Linked DNA regions of Drosophila melanogaster. The protein of the gene in region 4 binds, or shares a complex with, the protein of the main gene of each other region. Each region holds a gene or a part of one and is shown on either strand. Other genes may lie near its edges.

What was found.
Region 1: Mgtor (region 4) and Nup358 share a complex: the UniProt entries of both Drosophila melanogaster proteins name them as parts of the nuclear pore complex.
Region 2: Mgtor (region 4) and Nup153 share a complex: the UniProt entries of both Drosophila melanogaster proteins name them as parts of the nuclear pore complex.
Region 3: Mgtor (region 4) and Nup214 share a complex: the UniProt entries of both Drosophila melanogaster proteins name them as parts of the nuclear pore complex.

What each region holds. Positions count from the first base shown.
Region 1 is NT_033777.3:25,247,103-25,252,423, reverse strand, and holds the start of Nup358 (nucleoporin 358kD), read right to left. Parts: upstream 3,077-5,321; 5' UTR 2,794-3,076; coding exon 2,722-2,793; intron 2,202-2,721; coding exon 1-2,201. Other genes in the region: Nup37 (nucleoporin 37kD), read right to left, coding at 3,376-3,785, 3,843-4,251, 4,318-4,461; RpS27 (ribosomal protein S27), read left to right, coding at 4,986-4,991. UniProt on the Drosophila melanogaster protein: E3 SUMO-protein ligase. Component of the nuclear pore complex (NPC), a complex required for trafficking across the nuclear envelope.
Region 2 is NC_004354.4:16,597,187-16,602,532, reverse strand, and holds the start of Nup153 (nucleoporin 153kD), read right to left. Parts: upstream 3,293-5,346; 5' UTR 2,894-3,292; exon of another isoform or gene 2,810-2,893; 5' UTR 2,379-2,809; coding exon 2,220-2,378; intron 2,154-2,219; coding exon 1,638-2,153; intron 1,580-1,637; coding exon 1,335-1,579; intron 1,158-1,334; coding exon 1-1,157. Other genes in the region: CG9784 (uncharacterized protein), read left to right, coding at 4,291-5,346. UniProt on the Drosophila melanogaster protein: Component of the nuclear pore complex (NPC), a complex required for the trafficking across the nuclear envelope. Functions as a scaffolding element in the nuclear phase of the NPC.
Region 3 is NT_033778.4:22,918,673-22,926,979, reverse strand, and holds Nup214 (nucleoporin 214kD), read left to right. Parts: upstream 1-2,237; 5' UTR 2,238-2,325; coding exon 2,326-2,361; intron 2,362-2,417; coding exon 2,418-2,556; intron 2,557-2,615; coding exon 2,616-4,348; intron 4,349-4,401; coding exon 4,402-4,583; intron 4,584-4,640; coding exon 4,641-4,982; intron 4,983-5,038; coding exon 5,039-6,234; intron 6,235-6,332; coding exon 6,333-7,815; intron 7,816-7,908; coding exon 7,909-7,933; 3' UTR 7,934-8,043; downstream 8,044-8,307. Other genes in the region: ReepA (receptor expression enhancing protein A), read right to left, coding at 1-354; CG30187 (uncharacterized protein), read left to right, coding at 8,208-8,307. UniProt on the Drosophila melanogaster protein: Part of the nuclear pore complex. Serves as a docking site in the receptor-mediated import of substrates across the nuclear pore complex including emb, RanGAP and phosphorylated Mad. Protects mbo/Nup88 from proteasomal degradation at the nuclear pore.
Region 4 is NT_033778.4:11,850,511-11,855,822, reverse strand, and holds the start of Mgtor (megator), read right to left. Parts: upstream 3,207-5,312; 5' UTR 3,068-3,206; coding exon 2,917-3,067; intron 2,476-2,916; coding exon 1-2,475. Other genes in the region: Sln (silnoon), read right to left, coding at 4,095-4,476, 4,538-4,664, 4,741-5,312. UniProt on the Drosophila melanogaster protein: Component of the nuclear pore complex (NPC), a complex required for the trafficking across the nuclear envelope. Functions as a scaffolding element in the nuclear phase of the NPC.

The DNA.
Region 1 (5,321 bases), on a different chromosome or scaffold from region 4:
GGCAGCTTGGAAGATTCCTCAAGATGATGACACGCCTCCGATTGCAAAAAGTAGGCCATGGGCAGATGAAGTCCCCGGACCTCGTCCAAAAACTGCTCATACTGTCCAATCCTAAACATTTTCTCGCTAAAATAGGTGACGGCTTCCTCAGCCAACGACTGAAGATCTTGCCATGCTGCCGTTGAGCCGGCGGATCCGTACTTAAAGACGCGGACATAGGATTCCATCTGCTGGTTGTGTTGGTGGCGTAAAATTGAAAATCCTTGCCTGTACAGGGTATCGATACGCGCTTCTAGAGAAGAACGATCCGATCGGGAATTTAAAATCTTTCCCAATTGAAAAATGATGATGGCATCTGCTTTTGGGCCATTAACGCCGCGCACCGCTTCCAATCCATGTTGTAGTTGAGCTCGTTGCTCGGCGCGATTGCCTTCAGTGATAAGCTGGTTCGAGTTAAGTCGCACCACCAGATCCCACCAGTTACTTTGCTCCGGTGCGCCTAGTTGACCCACTAGATTGGCAAATGGCATCATATGTGGCCGGGCGGCAGCATTGCGGTTTCCCAAATTGGAGGAGTCATACACCTCACGCTGGATTTGCAATTTACGTCTGGTCTGAATGGTTGTGGCATAAAGGTAGAGGTCCACATCTACCTGGCTGATTGAATCTTGCCCACAGTAGTTTAGATTCTGCTTAACATCCCGTTGGAAACCCTCATAAAAGACCACGCGTGGCGCATCTCCAAGTTTGTTCGGGTCGGTGCCCAGAGCCAGGTAGACATGTTGGGCTAAGGAGTGTGGCGGCAGCACCAACGCTTGCAGTTCGTAGTTCTCGATATGCGCCAGATTCGGCCACTCAAAAAGAGGCAGCTGCAGACGCAGGTTCCGCACCAGATGCGAAGACGTATCCTTTAGCTTGTGTTCGGCGTGGGTAAAGAGCTGTTGGTAAATTTGACTTCGCCAGCTCTTGTCCAAGCATTGCTGGTGAGCGCTGGCCAACAGCTCTTCGGAGTCGGCAAATAATCCCGGCATAGAATTTCCCGAATTCTTATTCTCATCAAACTCGGCATTTTCTCTATCGTTTTTAATTTCCATTTGTGACCGGTCCAAGCAGCCCAAAAGGGTTCGTCCAAGCTGGGCACATCGAAAGGCGCCCTGAGGGCGCCACATCTGTATCAACTGCTTCTGTTCCGCGTCGCAGTGTTTTATCCATTGGTTGGTACTCGAATCATCGATCGGTCGCACCTGGTAACCAAGGAGCAGAAGTGGCAAAGCGGAGCGAAGCGTGCTCATCCATTTGTTTTTGTTTGCCAGAACCTCACGTTTGAAAATCAGTGTCACCGCGTGAAGCAGAAGCTGGCCGGTAAAGTGGTCAATACAAGCCTGGTGGAGATCCCGCTGCGGAGCGTCCCCTGACCTCTCTATCGAAGTGCTAAACTTGAATAGATATTGATCAAGTCTGAACAACTGCTTGCTGCTGTCTGCCAGTCCACTGCCCTCCAGGCTTAGCTGCACGAGACGATCGAGAGTGTGCAAGGCGAAGTGCCAAAATCGCCAGTTCTTCTTTACATCCTTGGCCATTTCTATCTTGAAAAGGACCATCCAGATCTGCTCGTACCATTCGTTCGACTGGCTCGTGCAGTTTTTCGACTCCAGTTCCGTTTTTAGAGCATAGTTGAAGGCCTGGTCTATTTTCATTTTTTCAACATAGCTGCGCAGCAGTTGTATGCGTATATTAACATCCTGGGGACGCGCCTGCAGCTCCTTGTACATAAGAATCTCGAGGGTATTTTGCTCGCCGTCTCCGCCACTGGTGTCATCTCTTTCGCCGTTACTGTCCGCAAGATTTACACGCATTCGCAGGTTGAAGACTTGCTTGTTGCCGCTTAAATCAAGGCTATTAGCCTGATCCAACCAGTACCTGGCGCACTCCGTGATCGATGCGTTGTTCTCCTTCACCAGAAGTTCGCAGGCGTCAATGACAACCTCTGACTGACGCGGATCAATTTGAATAGAACGTTGGTAGTGCTGCAGGGCCTCTGTCACATCGGGCGGGTTCAGCCTACTGTAGCAAGTGGCAATCATGTTATGGCCTACAGCGTCGTCCCTCACCCGGAGATAGCCGTTCAAATACTCGATGGCTTTTGGGTATTCCTGAACTTTCATGTACAATCGAGCTACAGCCAAGCCTTTGATATCGCGCTACAATATACATTTTATTGATTAGTACGTTAGGTTCAAAAAAGTCTGTTAAATTTTTAGACAATCACTGTGAGCTGGATAAGAATAACTTTGTAAGATTTGACTTATTGTGTGCTTATTATTTAGATAGAGCTACGTTAGACCGCAAAAAATCATTCAAATCCACAATGGAAATTCGAATTATTTTTGGCGGTCTTACAAATTCAGCGCTCACTCTAGCAGATTGATATGGTACACATAACCTCAAATATCTAATTTGATTTATACAGAGAAGGCGAAAGCCATGCAGCTGCGAAAAAAGCGTTCTATTTGTCAAGTATATGAAATGCAGCCGTTGAAAGAAAAGCGCGCAATTTCTTATTCAATCTCAAAAACGACGGCCAAGTGACGCCGACTCACACACACAAACACAAGCAGACGCCGCACGCACACAACGGTGTGCTTTCAATGGCGGCGCCTGAAGATTTCGCAATGATTTTCTTTTTGGAAATTCCGATGCACACTTTGGCCGTTTATTTACCTCTCTTCCCGGCTGAAGTTTTCCCAACATTTTGTGGACGTGTGCGTCCACTTCTTTTCGCGTTGTAAACATATCTGTACTTTTTTAAACACGTCCAATTTGCAGTGGACGAGACCTTGCAAAAATGTGCTTCGCGTTAGATTCTTCTTCACTCGTCATCCGATTGAAGCAGATTCCTCGAACGGTTAATTGCCCCGGCCGGAAAATCACGTAGATTCGGATGGGCAATTCCAGTCGCAACAAACTGCACTCGTTTGCGGTGTAGATTGGAACGTAAATATCACTAAATTCCAATTAAAACTTAAGCTGAACAGCACGGAAACCAAAAAATTTGTGCAAACTTAGTGCTGGAACAAAAAACGATGACTACGCGTTTTCATCGATGGGCGCGAATATATCGCGTCACCGATGTTTTAATGACTATAGCAACTATCGATTGCTACGATTTTTTTTCGAACAAACAAATAAGTATAAGGGATTTAATAAATAAATTAAAGAAGGTTCAAGAATAATATAAAACTTATGATAGTTTAACGAAATTATGAAATATAAATATAGAAATAGAGTGTAGATCATTGATATTCTTCTGATAAATCTTTTTTATATCATATTTTTTATATTCTTTTATTTATTATTCATACAATTTTATATAAATTACTTCATTTGCACTTTCCAGAAGAGCAGTTTCCTATCGGAAACCGCACTAATGTACGGCAATCGCTGGTGCCAGGCCATTCCCCCATAGGATTTCAGGGAGGCCTCCAGCAGAGGAACGGTCGACTTGGCCGCGAACACTTTGAGAGTCAGCCCGATGACCATGGCGATAACCATCTCGGAGCTGCCTGGCGCGAAGCGCACCACCCGGCCGCAATCCTCGTGGACCTGCTTGACATCCGCGGGCACATAGGGTCGGTTCAGGTCCCAGGTAACCACATCTCCGCCGGCCAGCGAGGTGATGAAGAGCCGGTTGCTGTGGGCCCAGTCCGCCGACATCAGGGGGAATTTGGGCGACTCCACGGAGATGACTGTCTGCTTGAGCGTCACATTGTATAGATGAATGATGCCTGCAAGGAGTTTCCTTAGTTACACCGCGGGCTAAACACTGGTAATAGCAAGCACACCCTTCTTTTCCGCCACAAGAACCTTGTTGGGATCCTCGGGGTGACTCTTGACGGACATTCCAGCGGAGGACAGGCCAAAGGTTATGACATTCTCCCCGCCGCCTGTCGTCGTCCAGAATCTGCAGGTGAAGTCATCGCTAACGGAGGCCAGCAGTTCGCCGTCGCAAACCCAGGATACATCGTTGACGTAGTCCCCATGCCCACGGAGCACCTGGAGCGAGGTGAACTGGCCCAGATCGGTGCGGTATAGTTTAAGCTGGCTGCCGTTGGCCGCGCACAAAGTCACATTGTTGGGCGTGCAGTTGAGCGAGGTGTCCGGCGAGAAGGCCAGTGCGCTCACGCTCCGCTGCTCCTTTTCGCCCAGGTCCATGTCCTGCAGGCGTGTGTACCCGAACTCGCCGCTCTCCTCCTGCGGATTAAGGGTTAACCATTCAAAATCATTCAACCTTCACTGGTCTTATGCATGGAAACCCACCGGCAGTCCAACGAGCAGCAGACTCAAGTGTTTCCTGAAGGCCACTGCGATTAGGTTGTAGGCAAAGTCATTGGTGCATATATCGTAGCAGTAGATGGCTTCATTAAGCTGGATGCTGTGGTCGGGCTCGATGACAGATCGCATCTTTCTATAAATATTGTTTGTTATTCGCGGGATATATGCAACAATTAGCCGGCGCCAAAAAAATGTTTATTTTAGTATGACCAAAAATCAGTGGAAGAATTTTCCAAGATTTTACACTTTTAAAAAACAGAATACGCAAAGAAATGTTATTCGAAAATATATTCGTTATTATGTTTAATGCTTACATTATTGTGCCTCAAGTTTTAATAAAAATGGCTAGTCTTAAAAAGAAACATAACAATATTTAAGTAGTCATACGTCGGCGAACTTTTTAATGATAGTAATAGTAGTAATGCCTAATATCGACTGTGTAGCGTTTGCTTTTTATAAAATTTATTGCTAATACACGAATAAAGTCAGAATAAATTTTGAACTCAAGCAACACACACTCCAGTATTGGAAAGCGTGAGCAGCAGAGTTGCCATCGCCCAGCTGTTCAGCATTATTTAGTGCATTCTCGGGCAAGTTAAGTTGGCTGCGATTTACCCCACTTCCTTTTCCGTGTTAGCTGTGAAAGAAAAAACATGCCGGTGGGTTCCGAATTGCGTTAAAATTGAATTTAAACACAGAAAACTCAACCGAATGATAACCAAAAACGGCCGCTTATTACCGCCAAAGTGTCCAGTGTAAACGGAGCAAGTGTCGGCCGATAATAACGGCCCTGAAAGACTGTAAAACAAATGTCTGGCCCGCTTCCATTGAATGTGTGCGATACAAGCCACGCATGGCGTGCGCCAGTGAAATTGCAAACAGTTGTGAAATGGCCAAATGAGATTTAAATGGAATCTTGGGACTTACAGGAGGAATTGATTGCACTGTCATGTGAAATCGACGGATATCCTTGCACATAACCTAGAACA
Region 2 (5,346 bases), on a different chromosome or scaffold from region 4:
CGCGGTGTAGACGACGACGTTCCAGAAGCTGCTGCATCGTCGGCACCAGCAGTTTGTTAGAGCGCAGTTCCGCCAACTCGTTGATGTGATTGGGCACCGAAACATTGCGGCTGGCACTCGTGGAACGTAGATACGGGGTGGCTGGCGTACCCTGGCGCTGTTGGCGACTGCTTTGATGCTCCTTGATGCTGCTCCCCATTCGCTTGGCATCGATCAATGGCGTGGAGTAGCTTTCAAGTAGGTTGAGAATGCGCATCGTGGTGTTCGACAGCCCGGTACCGGGTTTCTTACTGCCACCTTGGCCCACAGATGTCTCCGCAAGACTGCCGGAGTCTGAAGGTCGCATATCTACCGCTTTCATACCGTATCCAATACCACCAGTCATGGAAGCATGCAGCTGATGCGCCGGTGAGCTGCCGGCAGAATTGAGTCCCAACATTGAGGATGCGGCGGATGAGCTAAGATTGCTGCGACTGAAGAGGCGATTGTTGCCGGAATTGCCCCCGAAGGTGGTGCGTCCCTGGTAAAAGGGCGAGCTAGAGGCAGATGCAGAGCCTGAGTTAGAGGCACTGCCACTAAGCAGACGACTGTCGCTCAGTGCCGACGTACTGCCGTATATGGACGCATTGAAGCGACGTCGTTGGGTAAGGGAATTCAGCGACCACGTAGAATTCCGATGCGATTGCTGTGCGGCGGTGTTGCTTCTGTTAAATATTGACTTGGAGCTCTGCAGATTTCCGTAAAATTCTAAATTGCTGTTGCTGTTGTAATGCGACGGACGAAGTCCGTCGTGCCCTTCACCATTGTCGTGGTATTCGTTCATATCGCTCTCGGACTGCGAATCACCGCAACCTCCTGCGGCCGCAGACAGTTCACTTCGTCTTGTTTTTGTCTCAATGACATTGTTGTTGTTATTATTATTATTATTATTGTTGCTAGTATTGTTGTTGGTCCTGCTTATTCTCAGCAAATGATTGAGATGTTCTTCCGAACTCATGGCCGGGCCAGTCCCCGTCTCATCCATGGTAAGATCGCGTCGATGGGTTTGCTTGCCTATGAGCGATGGTCGCTTGTGGTTAGGAAGGCTGGATAGGCTGTTGTTGTAGCTGGTAGCGGTGCTGCTGCCTCCGAAAGGTATGTTCAGTGAACGGCGGATGCTAAAATGATTTAAATGATTGCCTTATAATTTTCACTAAGGTTTTCTTCTTTTTCGTCTTGGCAATAGCCTGGCTATGCAACGCCCAAATTTGAGTTTGTTTGAAACGAGCTCTAAGGTAGTTATCTTTTTGAATTCCATATTAACACTTTTAGTAAGCATGACTGCAGTAACATACCTGTGTGGCAGATCCCCGGTGCTTCCCTCGGCAGCTTCGTTGCCCGTGAAAAAGTTGTACGCGGGTTCGCGCTGCCGTTGACTACCATACAAATTGAGGTGATTGCGCCGATGTGGCGCAATGTGGCTGACGCCCTTGTACATCTGGGAGCTGGAGGAGCTGGTGGCAGCCGCGAGCGGAGCAGCAGGCGTGGATGACAAAAGGGGCAGACGACGCATGTTCGGCAAATTGACGGGGGTCTCCAGCTGAAAGGGATTCAAGATTAGTTGGGAAATGTAGACAGGATTGAAGATGTGATCTTACCTCCAGGCGTCGACGCTTGGTCTGCACGGCGGCGGACTGTTGGAGATTCTCCTGCTCTTCATCGTCATCCTCCTCATCGCCATCCTCGTCGTCCTCTTCCAGTTCATCCTCCTCGGCCTCATCCTCGTCACCGCCGGCAGCTGCAACAGCCCCGGCTCGCTTGCGCAGCAGGAACACATTGTACTCGCTCCGCCGCGTCTGTTCATCCTCGGCGGCCAGGTCGTGTTCGGCTATGTTGTCGGCCAGGGCCACCTCCTCATAGTTGAGGCCTTTGGCATCGGAGCCGTCATCAAGATCATCGGCTGCATCGGCATCCACTTCGGCTAGCATTATCCGACGGCGTCCTCGTTTCCGCTTGGTAGTGAGGCGTCCATTGGACTGGCGTGGCTGTGACTGGCGGAGATTAGCTGGGGAGGATAAGGCATCGTTCCCATCTTTGGACGACGGCGAAAACCAACCGCTCAAGGAGGCGGGCAGAATGCTGGACACGCGCATCTTCATCTTCCCCATGATGGACTGCAATTGCAATTGCACGGAAGTTGGATATTTGATGGGAACCAAGTTATCGTCGACTGTACTTACGTTGTTGCTGTCAGACTCCCGTAGGGCTCCCGCCGAGGATTCATCCTCTTCCTCCTCCTCCTCCTCGCTTTCTTCAGGCAGCTCCTTGAGCGGCGTCAGCGGATGCTTTTTGGCCAATTCGGCTTGCGAGGATTCCCTTTGCTCCTGTGCATCCTCCATTATGCCGCTTTAGATTCAGACTCACCTTTTTAGCCGGCGAAGCAACGGCACAAAAGAGAGATGCAAAAAAAACGCGAAAAAGAAGCGTTGCCGCACACACAACAAAAAACGTAAGTAAAAAAAAAAACCAAAAAAAAAGCACACACTGTTGCAATTCCTGCGAGCTAGTTTGTATGTGTAGGTGCGGATAATGTTCGCTCACTCGCTTCGTTCTCACTCTCTATCCTGCCTTCTCTCTCTGTCTGTGCGTGTGCAAAGGTGTGAGTGCGCTTACGCACGCCGTCGTGGTTTTTTTTGTTCGCGTTTCGCCGAGGTTTTACACACGCCGCGATATTTTTAAATAATATTCTGTTTGGCGCCACAAACTGGTCGCGTTTGATCAGGATTTGACTTCTTGGCCACCAATGAAGAGCAAATTCTGGGCACAAGCACTGCAAAATTAGAGGCGGGAAAAAGGATTGAATACCGAATTCGGGCGAAGCGCTCGAGGTTCTTGCTTTTGGCTTTGCCCTTACCGCTTTCCAGCATGCCGCCCGTTTTCTTCAATATTTGTTTTACTTTTGCCGGATAGATTTGATATATATTTGATATATTTTCACCTTCCTTTTGTCTTTGTGCTTCTTCCACTTCTTCCGCACACACTGCTTTCGCAATTCTTCGTTCCTCTTCTTCACGCTCTGCTCACACACACACGCGCGCAGCGATTCGGTACGAATTTTGGCGTTTTACCGCCGCGAAATCCACACTTTTAATTGCAATTTAACATTTGCCGCTGGTCGCATTCAGGTTTTCCATTGTTGCACGAGAACACGCACCACCGATTTGCAAGAAACAGAATTTCAAAAGAGCACGATTTGATTGGGGAAAAAACGCGTGTGTGGCCACAAAGTAGAGCTGGAACCAAAATCGATGTTTGTCAGATACTATCGGCGTGTCGGGCAGCGTGTGCTAATCGATACGTTGCCTGCAGCTATCGGTTACATGCACGTTTACGGTTTGGAAGTCTGTAATTATTAAATATTTTTAATTGGTGATGAACTGCCATACGGGCTTATTACTCAAGAACCGCTTCAAGTGCGACTTATAACATATGTAACCATTTGCTTGTGTTGTCATTTGAATACTAAGCATTTGCATTGACTAAAAGGAATTCTCGTTTGTATCTTTAAGTTGGAGTGAGGTATTTGTTTAGGTTTTTACTTGGCTGTGTGATAATGCAAAAGTTTAAATACTGTACTAATGTTAATCGATAGTTGTCCTAAAAAGAATTTCCAGCGAGTTAAAATTCAGCGAGTGCTAGAGTGACCACAGATTCTGCATTAGAAATAAAGCAAATATAATAAACGAACATAATATGAGCGCCAAATATAAAAGCCCTTATTAAGGTGCAAATATGACAAAGAAATTATACAGTATAAATGTTAAATAAATCTTAAAAAATGGGTTATAGGGGAAACCATATTGTTTTGGTTCAATTTTAGCAAGCCATTTTAAAACAACTTGAATTTACTACTAGATGAATCAAATATGTTACCTCTTAACGTCTAAGAAATTTACATTTTTAGGGCTGGAAAATAAATACCGCTAGTCGATATCGTCATCTTCTCAGTTTTGCCATCCCTAGTTGTTGTTATTGTGTTCGTCGTGTTGTTGTAGCACAGTTGTTGTTGTTGCTGCTGCTGGGCAAACAAGTGTTAAAAACTATTTGTGCTGCAATATTTTCAGCAATTACCGACCGCCCTCGCCGCTGTTCACCACCCAACTTAACCAGCAACCCAGATTGGAGCAACAAAATCCACAAAGGCATAAAGAATCGACTTACACAATAAAACCTTAATCGGTTGGGTAAACAACTTGATTGCTGTGAGCAGCCAGTTGGGTTAATCTCTTCGATTTGTCAAGTCCAGCAACAATGAGCCAAACGGAGGCTAGCAAGACACCCAAGATTCCGGACTCGGAGCCGGACGGATCGAAGGGCAAAGGGAAGCAACAGCTGGAAACTTACCGGGTATATGTGGTCACCTGGAATGTGGGCAGTCGATTTCCGGATAACATATCCCTCCGCCATCTGCTGGGACTGCAGGATGTGACGGTGGATAAGGACACGAAGGAGACTAATGCCCACTTGCCGGACATCTATGCGTTGGGGCTCCAGGAGGTCAATGCCCAGCCGCAGCAACAGGTGTTGGGACTGTTCAAGGAGGATCCGTGGACGCACAAGGCTAAGGAACTGCTACGCAACTACGACTATGTGGCCGTAAAGACCGAGCAGATGCAGGGGCTGCTGCTCAGCATGTTCGTGAGGCGGCAGCACGTTGAGCACTTGCAGGACATCGAGGCGGAGTTCACGAGGACCGGTTTCGGTGGCATTTGGGGCAACAAGGGCGCCGTCAGTGTCAGGTTCACCCTTTACGGCTGCGGACTGGCCTTTGTGGTGGCCCATCTGACTGCCCATGACCATATGATGGACGAGCGCATCGAGGACTACAAGCAGATACTGGAGAACCATCACTACCACGTCAAGCGGTATAGGGAGATCTACGATCACGACTATGTCTTCTGGTTTGGCGATCTGAACTTCCGACTGCAGGGCAGCGATTCCTCGACGGAAGTGCGCGAGTTGGTACGCGATGAGTCCCAGCACGAGGCCCTTATCCAGCGGGATCAATTGTATCAAGTTCGCGAGAAGTCGCAGCTGGCCTTTCAGGTTCTGCAGGAGCGACTGCCCGCCTTTCCGCCCACCTTCAAGTTCCGCGAGGGCACCTCCGAGTACGACCTGAAGCGGCGGCCAGCCTGGACGGATCGGATAATGTACGCCGTGCAGCCACTGAACCGGCAGCCCGGCATGCAGCTATCCATTGAGCAATGCTCGTATAAGTCCCATCCCCTGTACACCATCAGTGATCACAAGCCGGTGACCAGTGACTTTACCATCAAGCTCTACCCGAATGTACGGGCGCCCGGCGTG
Region 3 (8,307 bases), about 11 Mb from region 4:
CTCCAGCATTCGACCCAACGCATTGAGGTTCTGGACAACTTTGGGAGTAGGTGCGTTGGCCAGCGGAACTCGATCCTCCACTATGTAGGCACCCGCGTACTCATTCTCGGGAAAATCGCTGTCCAGCGAGCTCAGCGAGTCGCCCAGTTGATACAGCGGATATGGGGCCCGTTGTTGCTGTTGCTGCTGTTGTGGGGCGTAGATAAACTTTGGATACACGGGTATCACGTCCTCTGGCTGGTCCTCGAGCGAGTAACTGCGTCCGTAGACGGTGCCCGGCGGATGACGTAGGCGGCGGAGATTAGCTGGCCGCTGGTAGAAGAGCGGCGGCTCCTGCTGATAGATTGGCCTCATGGCAACGGGGATGCATTGCCCGCAGCACGGATCGCAGATAGTTCCTGGCCGCTAGAACGCCGAGCAGAGACTGCCGTAGCTCGGCGTCTAACGCTCAGGCGAGAGGTCTATTAATAAACCCACGATCGGGTCTAGAGAGAACCAGCAACAGAGGAGCACTCAATGTTTACACGTAGGAATGCGCCGCAGTTCCGAATGTTGCGACAGAGGCGTTCAAGAAAATAGCACCTCAGTATCAAGATATTTGAATCTTTAATTTGGAAAGGATACTTTAGCGAGTAATGGGAGAAATCGCCTCGATTTAATTCCTTAGATGTAAGAACTATATATCTTGACTATGATGTTAGTTATTGATTTGAACCGATTACTAATTTCATTATCAAAAGTAAAGTCTAGTTCGAAGTTAAGATGTATTGACATAATGGAAAATGCTAACGGAGGTATTGTGTGCTTGAACAAATGAGGTGCTAGCTACTTGGCCGCGACTGTGCCACACTATGGGCAAGCGTCGAGTTGCGATCTATAAATATTGACAACAATAGCGGAGTCACAGAGAGTCGCCGGGTCGCCGACAGGCTATATCCACATGTTCTGCACCCAAATCGGGCGAGGCGAGTGCGTCGGCCTCGGGAACACAGAGACGCAGAAGCTTGGAAAGTTGCAACTCCAAATTAGGAGTTCAATCGAGGGTTACACACACAGGCCGCGCACACTCGCGCACAAGTGAACGGTACTTTGCGACAGCTGATTAATAAACAAACAATCCGGCAATCAGCGAATCGAGGAACCACGGAAATGTATAAAACTTAGAAATCAGAAGCGTGACGCCCACACAATTAGGAAACGACGACGGGCTTCGTAGGTGCTTTTCTCGCTTTCGAAGGCCGAGCTTGAAAAGTTAGTTTTGTTTTTTTTTGGGGGTCAGCAGCTGTAGCGCTCTCACTCGCACTCACACTCACTTGCGGTGGCTATGAAGTCGGGATTTGCTATAGTAGTAATCGGTTATTACTCACATTATAAGCCGCGAAAACAGGCTGCTGATCATCTTGAGCGTCGCCTGGCTGCTCTAGGGGAAAACTGTAGGGTATTTAATTAGAGTCCACTCCGTTATCCTGGCCTCCTTTCCAACCCCAATTTTCACCTGGAATTTCCTTGACTTTTCCGTAAATTATGTGATTTGGGGTACTTTATGGGCAATATCGAAATAAAATCCACAGATTTCTGTTTAAGTCGATTTAAATTTCATTTACTTTTTGGTAACTGCGATTGAATTCGAAGGATTTCGAGATTAATTGGCTACGCAATTTTTAGCACCGTGTTGCGTCGCCTGTGGATAATTGCGAATCGCCAGCTCGACCTCTACTACATGGCTTTGTGCAATCACAGTCGAAACAGCCGATGCTTTGTGCCCTGCTTTGCAAATGCATTCGCATTGCCCGCGAACAAATCGCTTTTGTTTAATTCTCAGCAAACAAAAAGAAACGCTTGTAGGACAGAGACAGACGAACAACAACAAGGCTGCTGCGCTAGCGATGTGCTGAAATTTTCGTTCTCGCACATACTGTCCAAAACAAAATACCGTCTGAAAAAATACCAACAAAGTGCAATTGCCATATGGTCAACCGCTAAGACAAGATTGGTGAATACTTAATTCAAGCTAAGTTGGTTTCTTTTAGTTAACAAGTTCATCAGTTAGTTATAGGAGAAAACTATTTTTATATAAGATTTTATCCCATTTTCTTTTTAAAGGAACATCTATGAAATTTAAATCAGATTGTATTGTATATGTTGTTGGATTTTTTGGTGGTGAGTTTTTGTGGTGAGTTTCCTGAAAGTGACCGTACTGCAAGTGGCGCGCTTTTTGCTTGCCAACGTTTCCAACGATCTCAACTTGCAGCCACACCATCGACTCGATTGGGAAATCGACAAGCCGCAAAAAATTTGGCGAAATAGGAGCGAAAACAGACAAAAATGGCGCAGAATGCACCAGACTGCGAGGACACGCAGGTAAGCACAATTGCATAGCACTGAGATGTCAAACATTCCATTGGTTTTGGTCGCAGGACTTTCAATTCAAACTGCACCACAAGATTGTTGCGTTCAAAAAATGCGGTGAGCCCCGCAGCAATGTGAACCTGCTGGCGGTCTCCAGTAGCCGGGGATTGCTCTTTGCCGGGAGTCCAACGCAGCCGGAACTCAAAGGTAATGTAGCTTGAGTTAGCTAGGCTAAATATATAAATTTATCCTGGCACTCCTTGCAGTGATTATTGTAAAGGATTTGGTCAATGCGAAGAGCACAGCCCAACAGCCGCAGGCGCGTCTGGTGCCACTGCCCAGTATTCCGAATTACATTGCCTGCAGCTCCGATGGCAACCTGCTGGCCGTGAATCACACCCAGAACGGCACCAGCCTGCTCAGCATATATGCGGTGCTATCGTTCATGACCCCTGATGTACGTCCTGTTTATAATATTCGCCTCGCCGCCGAGGATCACGTGCACGGCGTCCAGCTCCTCTGGAATCCCGTGCTGCCCAACAGCCTGGCCGTTGTTTTGAGCAACGGAGCGCTCGCGATGTATGCCCTGAAGGAGGGGGGAAACTTTGAAATGCACTCGCTGGACAAAAATCAACAAGTTAAGTGCGGCTGCTGGTCGCCCAAGGGCAAACAGATCGTTCTTGGTTTTCCCGGCGGCACGGTGAAGCAGTTCAAGCCGGATCTGACTCTGGCCAAGACGCTTTTGTGTCCTCCGAATATACATGATGCCCCCTTTGACACCATTGCTATACAGTGGCTGTCGACTTTCCAGTTTGCAGTGATCTTTCTCCAGCATGGCGAGGACTGTAGCCCCTCGCTTTACATTCTAAATGCTCCCAAGGCTGGTGCGCCCAGCTACATAAACTACTATGACATCTGCTATAGCATGAACGGCCCGAGGAATCATCAGTTCGTATTTAGCCATGTGCCCCAGTGGAATCTGCTGCTCGTAGTCTCGGCCAATGGCGTAGAGGTGGGCATCATGCGGTCAACCGAGGCCGGCGATACACCCGCTTGGCAGCAGCTTACATTGCTGGATGAGGCACGCATTGAAATGCCCCTAAGTGAGGACAAGGATGAGACCTTCCCGCTGGGCTTTGCCTTCGACACTTCTACAACGCACCAGCTGACGATAAATGAGAAGAAGCTGCAGACTATGCCCATGGTTCATGTTTTGAGTTCGGATGGAGAATTGCTCTCGTTCAACTTTCTTAATGTGCTGCCGACGGCGGTGTCTGTTTGTTCGCCACCTCCTCCAGTGGCCGATACTTCTGGGCAGTTCAAGCCGTTGAATATGCTGCTTGCTAGTGAGGAAGAAGAGCAGCCAGCTTGGGCAGCCAGTCCCTCCAAGGCTCCAGCTGCAACTCCTGCTGCTTCCTCGGACATATCCTTTGCATTTACACCGAATACCGTTACTTCAACCCCAGCTCCCTCGAAGGATAAGCAACCATCATTGTTTTCTGGCTTTGGAGCAGCTGCAGCTAAGGCACCTGCTCCGCAACTATCTTTTGGTACTGCTCCGACTTCTAGTCCGGTTTCGTTTGGTGCTCCAACTACCAATGCAGCCAAGCCAACAACACCGTTTGGTGGGTTTGGCACGCAGGCAACGACTACTGCCATGGGAAGCATGTTTTCGGCTTCAGGAGCAAATGCCTTTGGGGGAATGGCATTGAATAAACCGGCTATTGCCAGTGTGACACCCCGAACAGCGGCACCTGGGTCAACAGTACCCGCAACTCCTGCTTCTGCTCCAGCAAACAAACCACTGTACACGGTTCCTTTAACATTCACACCAGTGGACACAAAACCAGCCACTTCAGCTCCTCCACAAATCGCAGATGAAAGTCTTAAGCCTGATGACACTGAGCCTATTATCAAGGACATGATTGCCCTACAAATCGAAGCCTTTAGCAAGGATATCCAAAAGCAAAAGGAACAGACGAAGGAACTCCTCAAAGGCGTAAGTAGTGTTGGTATTACACTGCTTCATGTATTAAAGTTGTTATTCCGCAGATTGCAGCACCATCTGCTTTGAGGGCATACGCAAAGAGACTGGATGACCTCCAAGAGCTCAATGAACAAGCCAAGGATGTGGAGTTCGAGTTAGATGTACAGGGATTGCGACAGGGTCTTAATGAGGCCTATGCCATCGTAGCAGAGTGCCGCGGGAAACTGGAGATTTATAGAAAACCAGAGTGGGTAAAGGACTCTTTGAATATATAAGCTATTTAAAACCCGTAATTTTCGTTTAGGATTACGCGTTTAATGAACTCAAGCTCCTGTGATCCCTCTGGCCGTCGCATGCTAGCTCGTCTTCAGAGCTACGTGGCTGCCAATGAGGCCCAGCTGCGTCTTGCCCAGCAGCATGTCGATTTGCAGTGGGAACAGTTTCAGGATGTTGTGCGGCGCAATTCGAAGTCTCGCATGCACATGCCTTGCCTAGAGGGAATCTATCAACGACTGACAAGACTACAAAATCTAACTTCTAACCAGCGAATTGTACAGAACAACATCAAGTCCAAACTGAAGGAGCGCGGATTGCTTCAGGCCGCACTGCTCGACCAGGAGAAAAGTCGCACCCGCACCAACGAAGCGTTAGTAGAAGTTATTGTGACCTCTCTCTTTATGCGACTATAACTTTTTTATTTAGAGTGGATACATTGACCGACTCCATTCTCACGATGAGTCTTAGCCAGGTAGTGGACTCTAATGCAGCCAAGCTCACTCGAGAAAGACTACAAAAAATCCGTAATATTGTTCAGCTGCAGAAGATCAATGTTATTTGTCCCCAGCGACCAGATCGAGTGGGGCTCAAGTCGGAGGTTATTTTGGAAACGAAACGTAGGGCGGAGCAAATTAAAAGGGCAGCAGCCAAGCCTGCAACAGCCAACAAATACACCCAAGCAGCAGTCGCTCCGCCTTCACCACCAGATGTTGCACCCACGCCAGCTGTTGCACCCATGCCACAAGCAACTGTTACAGTGGCTCCTCCGCTGCCTAAACCAATGCCATCTATACCGTCCGTTGTGGAAAAGCCTGGAGTGCCCACACATCCGACAACTCCAGTGGCTACGCCATTTTCCTTCAGCCAAAGCATCCCATTTGTGAAGACATCTACTGTGACGCCAACGACAAATACTGTGACTCCTGGCGAAGCAGCCAAGCCGGGTTTATCCATTTTCGGCGGCAGTACTATTTCCAGCTTTAGTTTTGGTGGTGGTGCTGCCAAGTCGGCACTCTCATTCGGAACAGGATCGCCAGCCGTGGCAGCTCCTACACCAAAACCAAACCCGTTGTCAGCGGTCGAAAAACCAACACCCGAGCCGACTAAGCCCAAAGAGCAGAAAGCAGCAGAAAGCAAAGAATTCAAGGCGGTACAACCCGAAACAGAAGAGTCAAAAGTACCCCAAAAACCAAAGGCAGAGACGGAAAACAAATCCTTTGGATTTGGAGGATTTACAGGAACTGGAGGTACTGTCGGAAATACTTCCAGCTCCCCGTTCAGCTTTGGCGGACTGGGTTCATCTCTAGGCTTCGGAGGAACAGCCGCTGCTGTGCCAAAATCTGAACCTTCCAGCACAGCAACCACTAGTGTAGCCACATCAGCTTCAACTGCACCATTTGGCATCTTCTCAGCAGCTTTGGCGAAACCATCCAACTCTGAACCGATCACCACGGTCACTAGCAACACAACCACCATCACCAGCAAGCCTACGAATGTAATTGCTTCGAGCAGCGTAACTGATGCTCCTTCCGTCACCACAACAAATGCAGTGACCAGCAGCACGGATCCTATTGGAGGCCTCTTTAGCTCTGTGACTATCTGCAAGCCCAACACTCCTGCAGGTAAGCTATAGTTTCCTTTATCAATATACCTTACGCATAAATGTATACGCTTATTTGGCATAAACTCTAAACGGCTATATATGTCTTTTACTTTGCAGATACCACCAAACCAGCCAACATTTTTGGAGGAGGTTTATCCGCTGGTAGCTTTTCATTTGGCGGAACGATTGATGCCTCAAAGGGATTATTCGGCAGTACCAAACCAGTGGCAACAGCTCCCACAAGTGTGACGGAGGCGAACAACAAAACTGATCCTATTTCAACCACCCCATCAGCCATTTCGACTACTACTGCTACGACGACTGTGTCTAGTCCAGCAGTAGTTCCTGCGGCAGTTACCGCAGCAGTTCCGGCAACATCGAGCACAACGGTAACATCTAGCACTGCTGTTCCCGGCAGTGCGTTCTCCTTCTCAAACGCATTTAGCACCCTAAGTGCGGGAGGTGCTGCAGCTCCAACTACCAGCGCTTCAGCTCCCTTAGCTGCCAAAAGCCCAACCGCTACATCTACAGGCAATAACTCGTCGAATTCAGTGTTTGGTGGTGGCTTCGCAGTAGCAACATCAACAGCGGCTCCAGTGGCTAGTCCCTTTCAGTCAGCTGCAAAAAGTCCAGTTTCGAGTGCAAACATTTTTGGCAGTATACCTAAGGCGGAGACCAGCGTTTTCGGAGGAGCTACAACTGCTCCTTCAAACACCACGGCTGCGGCAACACCAGATGCACCACCAGCGGGTCTCTTTGCATCGGCCGCGATTAGTAACCCTTCGCCGTTTGGTAGTCCCACGACTAGAGCACCAGCCTCTGGCGGTAACATTTTTGGTCAGGCTGTTAAGCCAAGTGTCTTTGGACAACCAGCACAAGCAGGCGATAGCGGAGGATCTATTTTTGGTGGCGGATCCGCCAGTACACCTTTTGGATCCAGCTCAATTTTTGGAGGAGGTAATACGCAGGGCGCAGTCGGCGCTCCGGCTGCAGGAAGTACTTCAATTTTTGGCCAAAAAGTGTTTGGTCAATCATCAGCGGCTGCACCGGCAGCAGGTGGGAATATATTCTCCAATCCCGTCGGCAGTCCGCAAGCTTCTCCTTTTGGTGGCGGAGGAAACTCTATTTTCGGATCACCAGCAACAGCTCCGCCCGCATCTGGCGGATCGATCTTTGGGGGTGGCAGCAGCTCTGGTGGATTTGGCTCCTTCACGCAGACGACACCAGCTCAGGGGGGCTTCGGTGGTGGATTTGGCCAGGGCGGGGGTGGATCTGTGGCCCAGACAGGTTTTGGCTCACCACAAGCCCCGCAGCAGCAAACTACGACACCAGGTGGGTTTGGAGCCAAGCCCGTTTTCGGTGGATCCCCGGCCTTTGGAGCTAGCCCCACTTTTGGGGGAGGTGCCACCTTTGGCAGTCCGAAGGGTTTCGGTGGATTTGGCGGTGCCAGCCCAGTAGCCTCCCCTCCACCCTTTGGTGCTGCTGCAAAGCCGGCACAGGGAAACATTTTTGAAACGTTGGGGGGACAGGAATCGGGACTCTCTTTCGGAAATCTAGCACAGACTGGAAACTCAAATGCACAGAAACCAGCGTTTGGCGGGTAAGTTCGACCGACATACATACATATGCATACTTATATAAGTATTTCCAAGAATGCATACGACTAACGAAATATTAAATTTTACTATTTCAGATCGAGCTTTATGAATTATCGTTGAGTTCATAATAAATGTGTTGCATAACTCAATAGTTTTGCTTGTTCAGTTTTCATGAAATAAGAATACCAGTTAAAATTAAAAATCTTAAATCTTAAATCTTTATTAAAATTAAAAAAAAAAAAACTGTGTTTTTACTTCACGCGAAATGTGTGTACTGAACTTTATTTAGTATTTATAGTCTAGTATGATAAGGGTTTCTTTTTTTATGAAATACTTGCTATGGTATTATGCTCATGCTAAGGTTATCACCTATTTCATTCGAACATCTCATGAGATGCAGACACGTCTGGCTTGGATTCCCGTCATTTTTTGGTTCCTCAAAGATGTGGGTGCTTCAATCTTCTTGGACCAGATCTGTGGAATCAATATCGCAC
Region 4 (5,312 bases):
TGATGGCCGTCTCCGCCTGTCGCTTAAACTCGTTAATTGATTCACGGAACTTCTCCTCCTCCTCCTGGAAGTGACGACGCTGAGCAGCCAGTTCCCGTACAGTGTCATCTAAACGCTGCTCTAAACGCTGGCGACCCTCCATCTCAGATCGCTCAAGGTTGGTCTTTATGAATTCCAAACTGTTTAGAAGCAGTGATTGGCTCTGCTGCTCGCGGTGATAAGTCTCCTTTTCGATCTGCAGTCTAGAAGATGTGTCCCTTAGAATGCGGTTCTCTTGGCGAAGGCTTTGAGCCTCTGCATCGGCTGCTGCGTGCTTGCGGTGTGCCGCCATCATTTCGTCCTTGAGCAAATGTACGGTTTGCTCGTGTTTAATAATGGTCTTTTCATAGTTCTTGGTACGCTCTTCCAATGTAGTCACCTGCTGCTTGTAGGTGCCTATATTTTTGTGAAGTAGTTCGATTTGCTCTTTCTGGAATTCGGTGGTGTTCATAAGCTTGCAGTTACTGCTGGTTAGCTCCCGCACCTCCTTACGCATAGAATCGAACTGTTCTTGGGCCAGTGCATCGTTTTTACGCTTTTCGCTAGTGTAATAGTCGTAGTTCTCTTTCAGTGAGGCATACTTCTTGACCTCCCCTTCCAACTGTTGCTCCAGCTGTCGCACCCTCTTTTCCAGTTTCCTGCTCTCCTCAAAATTGGCTGCCGGCTGCTCTGAAGTATCCAGTGCAGAGTCGTTAGGCTCCAGATTGGAGTCGTCCAGATCCACAGTATTTTGACCGAGCTTCTTCTGAGCCGCGAAATATAACTTCTTGTAGCGGTCGCACTTGGATAGTAGTGTAGTAACCGTATTGTTCTTTTGCGTTAATAAATCCTCCAATTCGGCAAAACGCGCATCCAGTTTTCTTATGTGATTCTTAGACTGCTCCAGCAACATCTTATCTTGGTTCTTTTCGCTAGCCTCCAAAAGTTCTGTGAGCTCGCGGGACATATTCAGGAGGTATGTATTTCTATCCACCAACTCTTCAATAGAACTAAAGGTTACCAAGTTATCGCTGATCAAACTTTCGCTGGTGGGTAGCTGACGAGTTGGTTGGATACGTACATGTTTCACTCCAGCCCTTATGCAGTTCAATTCGTCCAGCAACATGCACACCTGTCGGCTGAGATCGGTGTGTGTCTGTTTTAGTTTCTTATTCTCATTTTGGTTGTGATTAAGGGTAGATAAGGCCCTTTCCAATTCCCGCTCAAGGCATAGCTTATTTTGTAATAATTCATCATGCTCCCGCAGGAGCTCACTGTTAGTTTCCTTCATTTTTTGGTAATCGGAGTTCTGTTTTTCCAAAATCGGTGCACTCTCTGAAATCTCAGCAATGATCGACTTGAGCTGCAACTTCAACTGCTCAATTTCGCAGTTTCGCATCTCCAGTTCTTCGCTGCTTTTGGCGTACATGGAGTAAAGTTCGGTAAGCGATAGATCGGAGCGGATAAGGCGACTAGCCACAGCCGCACTGGGAGCCAACTGGCATATGGCGCTTTCCAAATTACTTTCCCGGGCCTGTTTTAGCAAATCGTTGGCACTTGCTAGCTCCTGTTCCATAGCCTGAATCTTCTTATTTTGCTCGTCCAACTCAGCGCTGTGCTTTTGCTTCATGGTTTCCATTTGCTCCGTCAACTGGGCGCACTGCTCTTCGGCCTCCTCTAACAAACGTTTAATTTCGGAGATGCCCTGTAGGAGTTCCTCCCGTTGGATCAGATGATCGGATTCGGTGCTCTTAAAGATTTCAAAAAGCTTCTCTTTGGCATCAAGTTCCTTTTTCAGCTTCCCCACATACTCTTCCGTGGCCTGGTTCTGCTTGAAGGCGGTGTCGTTTTGCATTTCAATCTTGCTGGTTAGTTCCCCGATGGTCTTGACGGCCTGTTCGTACTGTTCCTGCATCAGCTTTAGCGATTCGGTCTTTTCTTTAAGGCAAGACTGTAGCTGCATGGTGTTTATTGTGTGCTCCCGTCGGATGTTCTGTAACTCGGCGTTGCTTTTGTTCAGATCTCCGCTGATTAACAAAATCTCCTTGTGCAGCATATCGCGTTCGCTTTCCATGCGGTTCTCTTTGAGCTCCAGAGCCACTTCCTTACTTTGAATTTCGTCCACGCGAGCAATGGCTTCGCACTTGGCAGCAATCGCGCTGCTCAGCTGCTGCTGGTAGGTGTGCAGATCCTGCTTCAATCGTTCCAGCTCCGCTTGTTGGCGCTCGATTACCTTCATCATCGAATCGCGTTCTTCAACTACCGACGCCTTTTCCTTGCGCAACTGTGATATAGTTTGCTCGCCTTTGGCGATCGTGTCCATTAGGTTAACTCGTTCCGAAGACATCTGATCTAGATGAGTGCGCAGCTCGTTTACATTTAACTCAAAGCTGGTAAATTTTACTAGATAGTCCTCCATTTTGTTCTCCAGCTCTTCCTTTTTTTGCTCGGCTTCGGCTGTGAAAAGGGCAAAAATAAATAATCTTCTTAACTGGATTTAAGTAACCACAAAGTATTTGGATTAAAATGAATACACAGAAATTCCCTGAAGATTTCAAACTCGGACTAATCAACTGTTTTGGTGGGAAAATGTCCGGCCAGTGTTACCACACCGGTGAGGTGAAAATTAATAAGGAAAATAATGTTGCTGCAAGCAGCCATTGTTTTTAATTGCAACAACCCGGAATTTTATATTTAAATTTCTATACAAAAAATATGTAAATGGCGCAAGAGTGTTTACCACGCTAGAAACCATACAGTCGCGGATTGCTTATTACAAGAAGCGGTATCTGAGCCGGTAAACGCCGCAAAGTTGGAGGTAAAAGCATACGCATGCAAATAAAGGGTTATTTGCAAAATATGGCGCATTTTAGTATATATACAAATATAAAAACTTACCCAACCGATTGGCGGCCGCACGGTTCTTGCAGTACTCATCTGAGAAATTGTTGATGTACTCCGACAATTTCTTCTGGACGTCTTCCGGCACGAGTTTCAACTCGTCGGGCTGAAGTATGTTGTTCAGAGTTTGTGGACCACTGAGATCCATGTTCGCAGTTGATCCTTGTCAAGCAGCGGTTAAATTTATATGGAGCGGTGCGAAGTTTACTTTCTTACTTTTTACTTTACTTTAGTCTTAATTTTTTGCGAATTGTGCACAAAGTCGCTTTAGGGACGCGAAAAAATGAACGTCAATGCAGTGGAGATGGAACAATATCGATATTTTTCGGTACTATCGATTCGAGTATATTATTCTCACTGTTTCAACAGCGTTATAACAGCCTATTCACAGCCTAATAAAACAAAATGTTTTTCTTTAAAAAGAGATAAATTCATTCATAAAAAAAATTTTTTAAACGTGGTTGAAAAATCCGTTTTTATTACGAATAAAAAAAGAAAGGACTTTATTTAATAACATAAACGAATGCAAAACCCAAACCAAGCGAAATCATTCCCTTTAATTCCATAAAACGCGATTAACCTTTTGATTTCGTGTTTATTTGGTAATTGTCTTTATGGGTAAATGTCTCACAACAACTATTTTAATTCTAGGGTAATGTAATGTGATGTTCTCCATTCAAGCCTCCCTTCTGTCTAAAGCCACTTAATTTTTCCTGCACAAAGTTTAGTCCTTTCCGATATGGATGTGCGAACCTACAACTATAGTCGGCCTATATAACCATCTAGTCGGGCATTGATCGTAGTTATCATATTATAAAGTTATATACGGGTATTTGTAGTTCATGTCTTTTAAACTCAGTTCTTTTTGCGCAACATTTGGTGCTCAGTTGTTGGTTGTTTAGGTTGTTTGGTTTCTTCGTTTGAATATCATCATCTTACACATCCTTTTGCTGTTGCTCAACGGAAGGATAACAAGCGATTGGGTGCGGGTGGGCATGGGGATTGATTAAGATACAAAGATACGGATGAGAACGTACGGATAGTAGTAATAGTAACTGGTAGAATCAGCAATATCGGTGAGGCATTCGAACTCTGAAACTCAGGAACTCAACTAGTATTTGATCGCTACTAAAACACTATTAACATATGGGGCAACCAACGAATCCGAATCATTTCTAGGCCTCCTCGCACTCCTCCTCCTCGCGCTGAACAAACAACCGATGGTTGCGGGCCTCCAGGATGGACCACACAATCAGCGGAGTGGTCCCGAGCACCATGCAGGATCCCATGCAGTAGAAGCATATCTCGTAGTCTCCGGAAAGGTCTCGCATCAGTCCTGCCAGCGGAGGCACCGATATGGCCCCGATGCTCTGGAACATCCTCACCAGCCCGTAGCTCGAGCTGATCCTGTCCGTGCCAAAGACGTCCGCAAGGAGGACCGGCATAAGTACATACCAGCTACCCAGGCAAAGTCCGTAGACAGCGGCCGATAGACCCACCAAAACCAGAGTCTTGGCGAAGGGAATTGTGAGCACGGCACATCCGGCGCCCAAAATGCTGTCGATATAGGGAAATGTGATTAGTTTGGATCGAAAAATAAACCTTATCTGGTACTCACCACAAGGTGTAGGTCTTCTTGCGATCGAATAGCTGCAGGTCGCACAGCCAGCCAAGTCCAAGGCGCCCAATTAAATCTAGGACCGCGCTGATGGCCACCAGGTATCCCGCCTCACTTTTATTGTATCCTAAAGATGAACCAAGTTTATAATATTTAAAATCGTACGCCGAAAGAATATACTTTGAACATTTTAAATAGTATACCTATTGAAATAACGTGGGCGGGCAGATAGTACAACATGTAGGGACAGCCGACGGACATCAAGGTGACGGATAGGCACATCAGGATAAAGCTCGGGTCCTGCAGCAGACTGATGTCCAGGTACATCTCGATGCGCTCGCAGCAAGTGCGTGGTCCCCGCTCTTCGTCGTCATCGTCATCCTCATCGGCGGCAAGGTGGCCGTCGCCATCGATAATGGACTCCACCAGCTGGGAGTCTAGAATGCCGAGCTCCGCCTGCTCCACCGGCTGCTGCTTGAGATCACTGAGGTTGCTAACCGGAGTGGGTATCTCCATGCTCTTGCTGAGTCCGCGACTGACCACACTCGGCGGCGAAAGAGGCTTCTCCAAGTGGGCTTGTATCTTGGATATCACCTCGTCGTTGGCAAAGACATTGCGCCGACGACGACTTCCGCGATTGGAGTCCGTGCCGGAGTGCTTGCGATAGACCCAAGTGGAGTCCGTGCTCAGATCTTCGACGGAGTGCAGCAATCCGGAACTGCGCACCTTCTTCATGGGCTTGATGAAAGTGGTCTCGCCAATAATATCCTTTACC